Linked DNA regions of Drosophila melanogaster. The protein of the gene in region 2 interacts with the protein of the main gene of each other region in a pairwise test. Each region holds a gene or a part of one and is shown on either strand. Other genes may lie near its edges.

Region 1 (7,157 bases), on a different chromosome or scaffold from region 2:
AGGTGGCGGGTCACCGAAGCCACCGCCTTGCCCTTGTTCAGATTGTACACCCTTAAGGAGTTATCCCAGATTCCACCGGCATAGAGCAGCTTACCATCCGTGCTCACCGCAAAGAGCTGTGAATGCGGTTGCTGTGACGAGTGGAAGGGTCCAAAGATCCGCTTGCGGTTCCTTTAAAGATATGTACATTAATATGACCGATTTGCTAAATCTTTAAACATACTTTAGATTAGCCGTTGTGGCATCGATTTCCAGCAGGAATCCCTGATCCTTATCAAACGATAGCCACGAATTGCAGCCCAATATGGTGGACTTCGATATGCTGACTAGAACATCGGGACTCAGCTGCAGGAACGATCGCGGAGGACTTCGCGGTGGACTCAGGTACACAATGGGATCCTTGGGCGTGGACAGCTCGCAGTAGTACTGCACCACCTTGTCCAGGAACTGAGTAAGATCCGGCCTTCGGAGCTCAGCACGTACCAGCTTTAGAGCCGTCTCATCCTGAGTAAGGCGTCGTGGATGTGGCTCCCGCAGCAGCTGTGAAGGCACTTGGCCAAAGTTATTAATCATTCCTAATATAAATGAATGGATGTCAATAAAAATAGCAAAAAAAAAAGTCTTGGTGTAAGCCACCTTCAACCGCCTCCCGTTCTACAGGGTTGGTGATCTTGTCCAAATCCACAGCGCCTTCATAGGAGCAATAATAGAAAACGTTTAGAGCCTCAGCTGCCTTGGGTCCCTTTTGCTTATACCCAAAGATCAGATCAATCCAGTGGTGCAGATGCTGACTGACATACTCCGATTCCAAAGCCCGTCGGTGTATGGCTATGAACTCCTCCGGCGTGGTAGCCCAAGCAGGCAATATGACATCGTCCACCTTTTCTTTGGTTATTTGTAAGTGGCCCAAATCAAATCTGCACATAAAATAACATTAGGCTAACTAAGTAAAAGTAAAAAACCACATGCATTACTTATTCATGTTCTTAAGGAATTCTGGGAAGTAAAAGAACTCGGGGATCAGCTCCTTCACGTCATTGGGATTGTCCATTAGCAACTTCCACGTCTGAGGTATCGAGTGGAATTGTCGATCGGCCACATCGAAACGACCGCTCTGCAGATCAATGTGCAGCGAGGTGAACGGTTCGACGCGAAGCAAATAGTGGAGCACGCCGGCCGAGTTGGAGTAGTGGGTTCCGTAGTGAAACTTTGGTATGGCACCAGAGGGGTCCTCGAATGAATCATATTTGCCGCGCACTTCGGCCTCGTTTTTAGGATTTATCTGCGGTAGAAATGCGTTTGTCATGTAACTGATCACCTTTTTCTATTTTCAGTAATACTTACGCATCCAATGGGTTTGGATAGGTCACGGAACGATTTTGGATCGGTAAGATCCAGCACGTCACTGGTGTAATCAGCAAGGATCCAGGGGAAGACGGGGTATTGGCTTAGATCATTGTAGGATCGACCTAGTTATGTAAAATACGTTAGTTTGATAAAAATGTATGTAATAATCAGATGTTATTTGCTTACCTGCGATTGTGTTTAGGTACATCAAGTATTCAAAGTTGGAAATCTCACGATTGATCCATCTCTGTGTGAGTCCCGAGGCCCTAAGCAGCTCAGCCGGCGATCTTCCCGAGCCGTAGAGTATGTTTGGAAGCGGTAGACCCACGATTTTTGTGAAAACTTTATTTCGAGTCTTAAAGAAATAAGAACATTTGCAATGATCACATTTTATTTACAAAAAAAAAACTCACCTTCGTCGTAAAGTTGAGGAAGTAGCTAGTCTGATCCACCAGGAAGATTTCCAAAGCACTCCTGCGCAGATTGTACTTTCGCAGATGAACCTCACGTATCTTGTTGGTGGAGAACCTGAAATCGTATTTGGAACCATCCTCTGTTGGCGGGCTCAAGTCCACAAAGGTGAACACGCTCTGGTTAACCTCAATGCGTCCCTTCACCTTGGTCATCAGCGTGATCAGCTCACAGTCCTGTGACATGACTAGCTTCTCCAGCGCCACATCCTGTTGCGCTTGCGTGTCGATCAGTTGACGTAGTTCCTCCTCCAGCTGGGAACTTTCGTCATCCGCCAGGAAATCGCGCACCACGGCATTCTTGATGGTGGAGTCAAATTCAGAGATTTCCCTAAGATAAAGGATATTGAAAATCAGATTATGAAGGACACTACTAAGGACTGGCTGGGCTTACTTGGTGTCGTAGGCACTGGTCGCATTGTCGCGCAGATTGGCGGCATTCTCGTGTTTATTTGGATATAACTGAGGCTCCAATTTCAGACGCATCCTGGCCACGTTCTCATGTTGCGAAAGCTTCCAGAACTCTTCATCCACTTCCCTAAAAAGAACACCAAGTTTTAAGTGTAATCCTTAAAATATAAAGAATGATACATATAAATATTACCTATAAATATTAAAGCTAAAATACTTAAATAATTTTCTTAAGCCTCTATATGATATCACTCTCGTAATCCAGGATGCCTTTAAACAATAAACTACAATCTTTTGTTTTCAGAATTTCTTTAATTTTGGGTTTTTGCGATGAAAGTTATTCAATAGCTCGACAATGATTAATCGAATATGTACAGATGAAAGTCCTTTGTCGAATTGCGGTCAATACTTCCTTTACGACTCCTACTTCTCCTCCTTCTACTTAGGCGACGATGGGAGCGGCCAGGGTCTTGGCGAAGACTGGAGCGGGGGCAGCAGCCACAACTGGAGCCACTGGAGCAGCCACGGTCTTGGCCAAAACTGGAGCCACTGGGGCAACAGCCACGGGCACATCCTTCTGCACCACTGCGTTGAAACCGTTGATGGAGTCGGCGTAGTAGCTGACAATACGACGGGAACCATCGGGCTCGATCAGAGAGTAGGATCCACGGACGACATCACCATCACGAGTCTCCTCCTGGGTCTTGGAGTCACCGGTTAGCGTATCCTGGACATCGTAGGCGAACTTGTACTGTGGGTGGGCATCCACGATCTCGGTGGCGATGGGAGCAGCAACTGGAGCAGCCAGGGGAGCAGCAACTGGAGCAGCCAGGGGAGCGGCTACTGGAGCAACTGGGGCAGCGAGAGGAGCGGCGACTGGGGCAGCCAGGCGAGCAGCAACTGGGGCAACTGGAGCAGCGAAGGGAGCGGCGAAAGGAGCGGCAGCGTAGGTCTTGGACACCAGGGGAGCAGGTCCCGCCACCAGAGGGGCGTTGTATCCCAAAGGAGCCGCGTAGCCCAGAGGGGCGGAGTACGCAGCCGGGGCGAAGTATGGAGCAGGTCCCAGAGGGGCGGAGTAAGCCAGAGGAGCACCCAGAGGAGCGGCGGCCAGAGGAGCGCCAACCAGACCAGCCTGAGCCGAGAGGGCCATCGAGGAAAGGACTGCAACAACCTGTGAGGAAAATGCATGGAGTCCAGTTTAGTCTCCTGACCTGACGGGTTCACCGAAGCCATCACCAACACTTACCGTCAGAGGATTCATTGTAAGGCTTGGGTGGGGGTTTAGTGCGATTGTCACCGTCGGTTATCGAAAATGAACTGACATACCTTGGACAAAAAAACCACGACTTTTATACCCAGATGCGTTCGCGAAATTTGCATGCGGTGCTCCGTGGAGGGAACTGCGTACCAATTGCGTATGGTAGCCCATTGTCCGAGCTCCTTGCCCCCCGCATCATCACCATCGCCGCTTTTTGGGGCCGCCTCTTCCTACCCAGCATTTGGCTGCGTCTGCGTCTCGGGCTTTGATCCAAATTCGCAGCACGTACTCCAATTTTCAGTCGTCTTGCGGTGGCTACACCAAGTTTTCATTTTTATTTGCCACTGTTTTTGCCTTGTTCGGATCGAAAGTGAATGCGATTTGATTATATTTCGGAGCAGTAGTTTTCGGTAATTGTCATGCAGGTTCCATCCAATGACAGTGCTTTTAATTTTCCTTTACACCAAAAGCGCGAAACTTATAATTAAGTTACCATAATGACGTCGAGTTGACAAGGGTTCAAGCTCAAAAACTTAATATTAATATATCTCTGGGATAAAAAAGTATCTTTAGAGTGTAATGATCCTGATTTTGATGTACTACTTGAATTGGTTGTCTCAAATAAATTGGAAAGTTTCTTATACACCTTATTGGGTATCAATTACTTATGCTAATGAGTTACCACTTATACATAATAAGGGTTTTCACAAGGGGTTCGGTTTCACTTAACAAGGTGAAACTGGGTCAATGTGGCCCAGTAATATCGATTAGACTAATATATATACTATATACCCATATATTACTATTGTAAATCTATTGAAAGATTATCAACATTTGATACATCAATTATATTGATATTATTCTAATAAATGGCCATGCATTTGGTTTATGTTTCCATAAGGAGATTTTTAGTTCCTCCCCTAAACGACTTTGCTGAAAAGGATAAATCTTATTTTAAATTTAACATGCTTTCCTAACAAATATCTTCAGTAACAACAAGAATCTCTGGTCTTTTGGAATTTGCCTAACTCCATGGTTGATTAAAGATTCCCCATCGATTTCGTGCTGTAACTGGTGGCTGGTTTTGAGTTCGTGACTCTTTTCCTAAATGCAACCAACGACCTTGCGACTCGTTGGCTGCGGATTCACCTCGGAGAGACGCTGAGCGATCCGGAGAAGCGGAGAGAGCCCCAAAAGTTGGCACCAAATGGTGGTATTACTCGTCGGGTTGTGGTAGCTGACTAACGGTTGTCGGCGTAGATTGTCGCCACCGGAAACCAGCATGGATATACAGTCGTCCAATTTGGCCAAAGCGAATGGAATGCTCCACTGCCATTTATGCAGTTCCTTGCCCAATCGCTTGACTCTGCTCTGAGATGAGAATTAATTAAAAGTGGATGAAATACTAACCACAGCCACTTAGCTGCCAATTGTGAGCAAGGTCGCCGCGGTTAGAGCTTCCAAATGCCGGCTAAATGCTTTTTGGCCCGATCGAGGCAATTACGGTGGCTAAGTGACCGGGCTCAGCAATGTGGGCGCTGGTCCAGTTGGTCAGGTGGAAATCGGATCGTCGAGGGGTTAATGCGTGTGCCAGTGCGTAATTGCGCCTGCGTCCCGCCCAATTCCATTCCCTCCACCAAGCCGTCGAAACTTGCCATTTTCGTTTTCTAATTAAACGAGTGGCTGCGAACGATTGATCTTGTTTTTATACCCTGCACTTTGGGTGGGCACATTGGACATGTATGTTACTATGAAGATTACTCGCACGTCACGCAAACCAAGCGAAATTTGCTTGCGTTTGGACAACATGGCGTGTGAGTGATAATCGGCATAACTTAACAGCAGGCATTTCAATTACATATTCAAATATTGATTGAAGTATGTTCGCCAAATGAGTGTTTACATATCCAATTGTAATCTTGGTTTCATACATTTTCAGAAAATTGAGAGTAAATACATATTTTCATTAGGTCTTTGATGATATTAAAGATTTTTCTTGAAAGGGTACCTACAATCGCTAAAAAAGCACTGTCACTGTTCTTGTGGCAACTGCAACTGAAACTGCCACAATATGAGGCACTTATTACATCAGACAAATTTTGGCTGGAGAACCTGAGAATGTGCCAAAAAACGGCGAAAAAATGAAACCAGATCGGCCAGCGAGTCAGCGGAAAACGAGTCTGGTGTTGCTGGTAGCTGACTAGCTGGGTATCTTGGAGCGGCGCTCTTGAACGGACTCAAATGGACTTCGGTGAGTGGTGTGCCTCGGCAGCGGCGGCTGCAGTTATTCCATTGAGAAAAGCCAGCACCAATGATGAAATCCGCACCAGAAACACGAAATCCGCCATCAGCGATGAGGTCTGGGGTGCAAGATCGAGATCGAGATCGGGCAGCCACCAAATGAGACGCAATTGTCACTCTGCCCATTAGATTGTCCAGTTTTTTTTTCCGCTGGCAGCTGCCGCCAGTTTCGAATATAAAACTGAAGACCACGCGGAAAATGCATCTCACATTTGAGCTGAGTTCTCGCAGTGCAGACACATCCAAACCAGAGCTCCCTCATTCTCACATCCTTCGCCATGATTGCCCAGGTGAGTTGGCCAAAGGAGTGCAGCTTTTAGTTGGCTCAACTGATCATGGAATTCCTCGCCAGACTCTGTTCGTTTTGGGACTGATCCTGTCCGCCGTTGTGGCCATTCCCATTGATCCCTATGGACTTTCGGCCCCTGGACTCACCTATGCGGCTCCCAAGTTGCTTGCTGCTCCTGCCATTTCCTATGCTGCTCCCAAACTCCTGGCGGCTCCTGCCATCTCGTATGCCGCTCCTGCCATCTCCTATGCTCCCAAGGTCCTGGCTGCCCCCGTCGCTGTGGCCAAGGTGGCTGTTGCCGAGCCCTACGATCCCAATCCGCAGTACAGCTTCTCGTACGGAGTAACCGATCATCACACCGGTGACTCCAAGCAGCAGGAGGAGACCCTGGTCAACGGAGTCGTCCACGGCAGCTACTCCCTGGCCGAACCCGATGGCACTATTCGCAAGGTCACCTACACCGCCGACAAGGTCAACGGATTCAATGCGGTCGTGGAGAAGAAGGGCGTGGCCGCGGTGGCCATTGCCAAGCCAGCTCTTGCCGTCGCCGCCGTTCCCGCCATCACCAAGATTGGATACGCTTCGGCGCCTGGTCTGAGTCTGGGTGGATACCACTAGGCGATGAACCGGTGGACCAAGCGATGACAAACTCCATGGCCTAGTTGTAGGACCGTTGTTAAATAGTTCTAATGCATTTACCCACTTTTCTGTCAGTCAAAACCCGAAACACAAGGACGTGCGTGCTGTTGCCACCCCGCTGTTGACCCACATTCCCAATCTCCGATCGAAGGATCGCCACCATAGACTACGTTTAGGGATACCGTTCTGGGGATCTGGGGAACGGCTATCGGCCACTTAGTGAATTAGTAACTGCATTTACTGAATAAAAGTTTCGGTACAAAAAAAAAGATTGAATGAATTGTTATTAGTTGTTCGATGGAACTGATCGGTTGGAAGTGATATTCGAAAAGTTGAAATATTTCTAGGAATGCTCCACATTCCCCTGCTTAACCCAGTTAAACATTGGGGTAGGTCCCGAGCTTCGAGTTAAAGCTCCCAATCTTAGATTCCGATCACGTAG
Region 2 (7,791 bases):
TCCACAACAACAACTTCCACAAGTGGCCCAACGACAACTACTCCTAGATCCACAACAACAACTTCCACAAGTGGCCCAACGACAACTACTCCTAGATCCACAACAACAACTTCCACAAGTGGCCCAACGACAACTACTCCTAGATCCACAACAACAACTTCCACAAGTGGCCCAACGACAACTACTCCTAGATCCACAACAACAACTTCCACAAGTGGCCCAACGACAACTACTCCTAGATCCACAACAACAACTTCCACAAGTGGCCCAACGACAACTACTCCTAGATCCACAACAACAACTTCCACAAGTGGCCCAACGACAACTACTCCTAGATCCACAACAACAACTTCCACAAGTGGCCCAACGACAACTACTCCTAGATCCACAACAACAACTTCCACAAGTGGCCCAACGACAACTACTCCTAGATCCACAACAACAACTTCCACAAGTGGCCCAACGACAACTACTCCTAGATCCACAACAACAACTTCCACAAGTGGCCCAACGACAACTACTCCTAGATCCACAACAACAACTTCCACAAGTGGCCCAACGACAACTACTCCTAGATCCACAACAACAACTTCCACAAGTGGCCCAACGACAACTACTCCTAGATCCACAACAACAACTTCCACAAGTGGCCCAACGACAACTACTCCTAGATCCACAACAACAACTTCCACAAGTGGCCCAACGACAACTACTCCTAGATCCACAACAACAACTTCCACAAGTGGCCCAACGACAACTACTCCTAGATCCACAACAACAACTTCCACAAGTTGCCCAACGACAACTACTCCTAGATCCACAACAACAACTTGCACAAGTGGCCCAACGACAACTACTCCTAGATCCACAACAACAACTTGCACAAGTTGCCCAACGACAACTACTCCTAGATCCACAACAACAACTTGCACAAGTTGCCCAACGACAACTACTCCTAGATCCACAACAACAACTTGCACAAGTGGCCCAACGACAACTACTCCTAGATCCACAACAAAAACCTCCACTTGTGCCCCAACGACAACTACTCCTAGATCCACAACAACAACTTCCACAAGTCGCCCAACGACAACTACTCCTAGATCCACAACAACAACTACCACAAGTCGCCCAACGACGACTACTCCTAGATCCACAACAACACCTTCCACAAGTCGCCCAACCACAACTACTCCTAGATCCACAACAACTACTTCCACAAGTCGCCCAACGACAACTACTCCTAGATCCACAACAAAAACTTCCACTTGTGCCCCAACGACAACTACTCCTAGATCCACAACAACAACTACCACAAGTCGCCCAACGACAACTACTCCTAGATCCACAACAACAACTACCACAAGTCGCCCAACGACAACTACTCCTAGATCCACAACAACACCTTGCACAAGTCGCCCAACCACAACTACTCCTAGATCCACAACAACAACTACCACAAGTCGCCCAACGACAACTACTCCTAGATCCACAACAACACCTTGTCCAACTACAACACCATCTGCAAGTCCTACAAGAACAACAACAACCCGTCGTCCTTGCCCTTGCCATCCCCAGCCTCCTTACCAGATTCCTCCTTGGTCATGGTGGTATCCGAACCCGACCTACCCCAATCCCGTGTGGCCCTGGCAACCTAACCCAGTCGTTCCTCAATGGCCACAGATGCCCGGATATCCAAATCAGTGGCCACAATTACCAGGTTATCCCCAGCAATTACCACCGCCGTTGCCATCACCTCAGTGGCCGTGGTCTTGGCCAAAACCACCAGTAGTTCAACCTGGCGACTGTGAAAACATATGCGAAAACCTACTGAAGGGAGTAAAATATCAAGAAGATCTCATCAGAAGGTGCTTGTGCACACGAACATAATCCTTTAAAAAAGAATCACGTAATTGTTTTATTAAAATGTTGTCTATTTAAAAAAATAACTTAAAACAAAGTTTTGATGGTTAAAAATATCGAACGGGTATGGTATGGATGTAGGTTTGATGATATTGAATGGCAAGTCTATCCTTCAGAAGTGGGAGGAAGGATTATGGATGTCACAATGGCGCATGCGCCTATATGGTTTTTGGATTCCCATGTTTTGCTTAACACTTTCGTCCCTGAGAAGCTCAGAAAGCTTGGGCGCCATTCATCAACAAGTTTGCATTCGGACTTCAGCACTCTAATCGACACTTGACTACATTATTACTTATTTAAACGCAATCATTTGACCCATTATTTTCCGACGCCTTTGCGTTTGGTTGCACTGCATTGCTCATGCGACATATGGTCGCACTATATGTTTGGAGCACACATTCGGACAAGTTTAATGACCAATTGCCAAGGGATTGGAGAACTCACTGCTCTTCGAATTAGGTTAGCACATTAGCTGGTTAAGGACAAACGTGGATTGAAGTTAGGATGGGGAGAGAAACAGGAAAACTTAACGAGTTCTAGCATATGATAATGTGTACAGCCATAAACTTATAGCTAACATCGTAATCCGTGCACAAGCTATTAAAAACTTCAAGAAGATATGTCCCTAAATTTTTCCAATAGTAATAAATATATAACCAAATTTACTCTCTCTGTAGGGCATACTACAATCCTAATAAGCTATAAACACTCCAGAGCAGAGCCTCTAATTTGCTGGTAATTTATCAAAATCTAGATTATAATCCTGCTGATGGATTATGTTTCGGGTCGATTAGTACCCCAGTTATAGGACTACTAGAGTTCGTCCTTCGTTCAGCTGAGCTTGCACATTTCCTACACAATAAGCAGATGTTAATGGCTCCCTTCTTTGTTGTTTTTGTTAACTTGTTAATACAAATACACCGTGTGCCAATTCACAAATCCAACAAGGTATAGTGGACATGCCAACAAAAAAGCTAGCAAAGCAAATAACACATTGTTGACAAACAGCGGGCTATTGGGGTGAACCTTCAAAAATCTATTGAACAAAAGTATTACTCGTCATATGTATTGTAGCATTTTAATTAAGGAAACATGTATTTTAATCAATATAACTTAAACTTAAAGATAGTAATGGTTGCACATGTCGTATGCGCAATTTTCATGAAGAGTGGTCCGCTCTAAAGGACACATACGTGGTAACAAGGGGGCTACGCTGGCCCCTGTCCCCACCTCCCGAAATGGTTTGTGGGTGGATTTGGTGTGGCCCTGTCCAATGGCTAGCGCGCAAAAATAATTTTTGTTATTGTGTTTTCCCTCATAAGTGGACATGACGGACCCAACGAAAGCTCATTCAGCGCTGGACAGGCGAACTGGAAAGGTCTAAGACGGAAGATGTCATCGCCGGCAGAGCGGGCGAACTTCGTGCAGCACTTCGGACAGACAACCTGAGTGATGGGCTGTGGCTCCTCCATGGATACGCAGACGAATCCTGTCGTCACGGAGGTCAGCTCGGAAATGCAACCTCGCCAGAATGGCGCCTCTGGAGTAATAGCACTTGAACAAGTCGTCTTACCTTTGCCATAATCAATACCTCTTCCATTTCGTCATCAGAATGTGGTCGAGCAATATGTGCGCCTGGACGAGCAGATCAGCAAGCTGGAGGGCACATGTCCTGGTCCTCGAATGGCCACCGCCGAGGCCTGGGTGGAGCACATTCAGAGCAAGCACGAGGCGATGCTGGGACTCGATGGCATGGGAGTGTCTCCTTTGCGCGAGAGGGAATGGGAAACCGAGGAGGCCCTGCCCATTCCAGCTTACACAATGGGGGGGCGGCAGGGCGACCCAATTGTGGCCAACACGCCCACCAAGGACCTGGCCCAGGTAAATGGCCTGCCATTAGTGAATGTGATGAACTTCCCTCAAGTATATTATTACCATTCGACTTTAGCTTGCCTACAACCTGGGCGTAATTGGCGATGCCCGCAAGGCTTCCATGCACGAGGATTTCTTCGCCAACCTGAGCGAGTCCGCCATGTATTTGCTTAGCATTCGTTACTACGGCGAGATGTTGGAACACACTAAGGTGCGTCTAAAGACTCTGGCCGAGAGCTATGCAGAGCTGAACGAGCTGTACGTAAAGCAAGACGGGATTATAGCGTATATAAGCGGGGGAACGTACATGACTCGGCTGGAGGAGAGCATTGATGAGCAGCTTGAGACGGCAAGAGATACAAGGGATAAGCTGGGCAGCGCACTGGAGCAGTGGCGCATCTGTGGATTACTACTTAGAGCAGCCGCGAATTCCTCGACGCAGGCATTAAAACAATGGCGACAGCTTGGACGGATAATGTGGGTAAATTAATTCCCCACTTAGAACTTGTTGACATGTTATTTCTCGTTCAGAGATCCCAAGCAAAAGCTTCAGTGGGCGTTGGACTGTCGAAGTCTGTTACACGCCTCCACGATATCCCTAGAGGCGGCTCAGCTGGCTCTGCCGCACGTGGAACTCAAGTACATGAGTCATCGGCAAGTCCTAGCCGTCAAGCACTGCAACACCTACCTAATCACGGATATAGCAAACAAAGCGCGGTAAGTTAATATATAGATTTCTCTAGAATCTTCTACAAAGGGAAACGAATCCCTTTTAGGTACGAGCACACCAGTCGGGTCTTCACCAGTTACGAATCAAACATGTCCAAAACCTGCACGTGGCTCTACGAAACCTTTAACAGCACGCTGCGCCCAGACTACGACAGGGCGGAGGAAACTGTATGCGGGCTGGCCAAGACGCTCCGGGATCATCGCGAGGAGGTCTTCAACACGGTGCGCAAGTGACATTAAACTTATTGCTCAATTATATGGGTATTTTGTACATTACTTTAATAAACAGTAGGCATAACATTAGTACCAATAGCTCTTGACTGGCGTGCGTTCCTCTTTGATGCCCATTTCCTCCATAATGTCCATCTCGAATGTGGACAACTTGGGCTGAAAGGTGATCTCGCCCACAACAGCGCCTGAAAAGGACAGACTTGTATGACTAGGAACATATTGAAATGCGATAATAGCCCATACCTGGCGTATCCTTCTCCCTTTCGATATAGGCGTTTGGTGTTTTATAATCGTGCGTCTGGTTGTTCGTCTCCGGGATGGGTATGATTCGGCCAGATCGCAAGGACACCCGCACTTTCTCGCCCTCCTCCGTGAAACGCCACTCAAAGTCGGTGCCCTGAAGATCCGATGGGTCAACCAGACGAATGTCCTTGGTGACGTGCAAAGGTGCCTCGGACTTGATAATGATACCGGGAAACTCCTTCTCACCGCCAACCTTGCGATAGTGCCAGTTCAGGCCCTCTACAATTACCCAATTGCGCTCGGGTATAACCTGGGTGACAATTCCCTGCTTTCCTTTGTCTTTACCCACAAGGACTTCGATACGATCGCCGCGGAAAAAGCTCCAGTCCTCTGAAAAGGATATACAACCATGTTTTATTAGGTTTTAGAGGTCAAGGCTTCTTATTCCTTACCAATTGGTTCCACTAGCACCTTGCGACGCACGGTTCCGGGCATATTTTGCTGGCGGAACTGACCCGTCCATGAACGATTTGTGGTGTAGCGGAATCTCTTTCGCTCCACGGTACGCGGTAGGTAATTAATCTCCTTCGGAGTTTGCCAGTACACCTGTGTTGAGATGAAAAAAAATATTTTAATAAATGTGAAACATTTTCCATGCGATGTGTTACGTGAGCCGCTGTTCACAAGTTGTTCAATGAAAAAGACTCTTCCTGTTACCTGTTTTTTGCTGCGCTCGATGTATTCCTTGGGCAGATTGGAAAAGTTCTTCAACTTGCTGGCCAAATATTGCGTTAAACGCATTTTGAAAGGTTAATTCAATTATTAATAATAAGAACTAGTAAATTAAATGCGGCTTGCAATCAGCTGTTGAGAACTGAAGAATAGCCATTCACAGGAAGGCCCAACAATTTTATTTATATTTAATGTTTATGCGACTCTAAAGATTATGAACACTTGATGTAGGCTTGTAAAATATTTAAATTAATTATTTTCGAGGTTTAAGAAAATATCTTAGCTTATATATTGTTAAACATTATGATATAGAAATTTAAGAACTAGCAATTATTTCCCCGTGTAAACGTGGTTCGCTGTGACTGGCAAGAAGAGGTAAGAAGAAGCAGCTGCTATTTGTGGACTACTCTTGGTGTTTTATATCGTTCGCCGTAGCCCTAAATTGCAATGCAAACCGGCTTTATATAAACAAAAGGTAAGTGCTAGACCATATAAATGTGGGCACGTGCGGGCGCAACATCATTGGAAGACGGAATCGCAACCGGAGAGCGTCTATTCCGGCCAGCTCAGTCCAACCGTTTGGGAAGGGCCTTTCAACGCTTAGTCATATCCATATCTCAGCGCACACCGAGACAATCCAGTTCCTACCCACCCATAAGTTCCTCATTTAACAAGCAATATGTCCCACCACATAGATATGGAAGACCGCACTGATACGGAGCCCGTGCTGCTCTCCAAGCACGCCAAGAATCTGCTCCGATTCCTTAATCTCCTGCCAGCTCGCATGGCCTCGCACGATAACACCAGGTAAGTGCATCCTGGCCTCGTATTTAACTTTTGGTTAACCATTTCCTTGTCCATCAGGAGCACCATTGTGTTCTTCGCCGTCTGCGGCCTGGATGTGCTAAACTCATTGCATCTGGTGCCGCCACAACTGAGGCAGGACATCATTGACTGGATCTACGGAGGATTGGTAGTGCCACGCGACAACGAGAAAAACTGCGGCGGTTTCATGGTGAGCATAAATTCGCGTCTGTCAGGTGTACAAACAGTCGTTGACAAGCCAAACAGAACCATCTTCCGCTCCCACATCCACTCCCAATCAAGTTCCTTATCTCCATACGTGGCCAGGTAGCAGACACTGCGGCAGACGTTGTCGCATCCCTTACATATTGGTGTTTATTCAGTCAGTTGATATACGAGCATTCGCATTTCCTTCATTGAGAAGCATCCACGAAGTAAATATTTTGAAAGATTCATTTCCAACAAAAAAAGTATGCAATTCTTTATTAGCATTTATGAAGTTTGTTTTTGTTAAAAATATCTAAGAAGCCACGTCTTGTTTCCCCATCATGCATCACATATTTCATGATTCCAGACCCTTTAGTTTAAATTACAAATCTAAATTTTGTTTTTAAATAATTGGATTCTAATGAAAACCCATTAAATTGTTAATTCCAAGGTCAACGCATCTGCTTTACATAAAAAGCAAAACGGCATTACTTCTGTTACGATCTATACTGTTTAAATATGCATAATTGTAGAGGAGTTCTCCATTTGCGCAGCAGCTCGATTTACCATTACCCACCACACCCCACCCACCGACACCTTGAATTTATCGCGCCACGCTTTATCAGCGACGCCAGCAACATGCAAAACCACTTTAAAATAGATTGATTAATTAATTGGTATCTTTGCAGGGCTGCCGCGCCATGGTGCCCAAAACCGAGGACGCCGAGATCTTGGAGTGCATGCGGAATTACCAGTGGGGCCACTTGGCCATGACGTACACCAGTCTCGCAGTGCTGGTCACCCTGGGCGATGATTTGTCCCGACTGGATCGGAAAAGCATTGTGGACGGAGTGGCTGCTGTTCAGAAGCCTGAGGGCAGTTTTAGCGCCTGCATCGATGGCAGCGAGGATGATATGCGATTTGTTTATTGTGCCGCCACCATATGCTACATGCTGGACTACTGGGGCGATGTCAACAAGGAGACCATGTTTCAGTTCATCACTCGGAGCCTGCGATACGATTACGGTTTCAGCCAAGAGCTGGAGGGGG

Evidence for each region. Proteins that work in one complex are often made in the same cells at the same time.
Region 1: the proteins of synr (region 2) and Cpr64Ad interact in a two-hybrid assay, tested with the Drosophila melanogaster proteins (one large-scale study listed by BioGRID).

What each region holds. Positions count from the first base shown.
Region 1 is NT_037436.4:4,211,782-4,218,938, reverse strand, and holds Cpr64Ad (cuticular protein 64Ad), read right to left. Parts: upstream 3,561-7,157; 5' UTR 3,490-3,560; coding exon 3,475-3,489; intron 3,400-3,474; coding exon 2,671-3,399; 3' UTR 2,525-2,670; downstream 1-2,524. Other genes in the region: Cpr64Ac (cuticular protein 64Ac), read left to right, coding at 6,066-6,077, 6,140-6,694; CG43367 (uncharacterized protein), read right to left, coding at 1-171, 224-575, 637-917, 975-1,282, 1,345-1,469, 1,534-1,702, 1,761-2,148, 2,212-2,355.
Region 2 is NT_033779.5:4,939,477-4,947,267, forward strand, and holds synr (sayonara), read left to right. Parts: upstream 1-3,265; 5' UTR 3,266-3,375; coding exon 3,376-3,468; intron 3,469-3,534; coding exon 3,535-3,804; intron 3,805-3,871; coding exon 3,872-4,272; intron 4,273-4,326; coding exon 4,327-4,512; intron 4,513-4,571; coding exon 4,572-4,758; 3' UTR 4,759-4,824; downstream 4,825-7,791. Other genes in the region: Sgs1 (salivary gland secretion 1), read left to right, coding at 1-1,890; mRpL24 (mitochondrial ribosomal protein L24), read right to left, coding at 4,825-4,940, 4,999-5,388, 5,451-5,604, 5,716-5,799; betaggt-I (beta subunit of type I geranylgeranyl transferase), read left to right, coding at 6,428-6,537, 6,595-6,745, 7,431-7,791.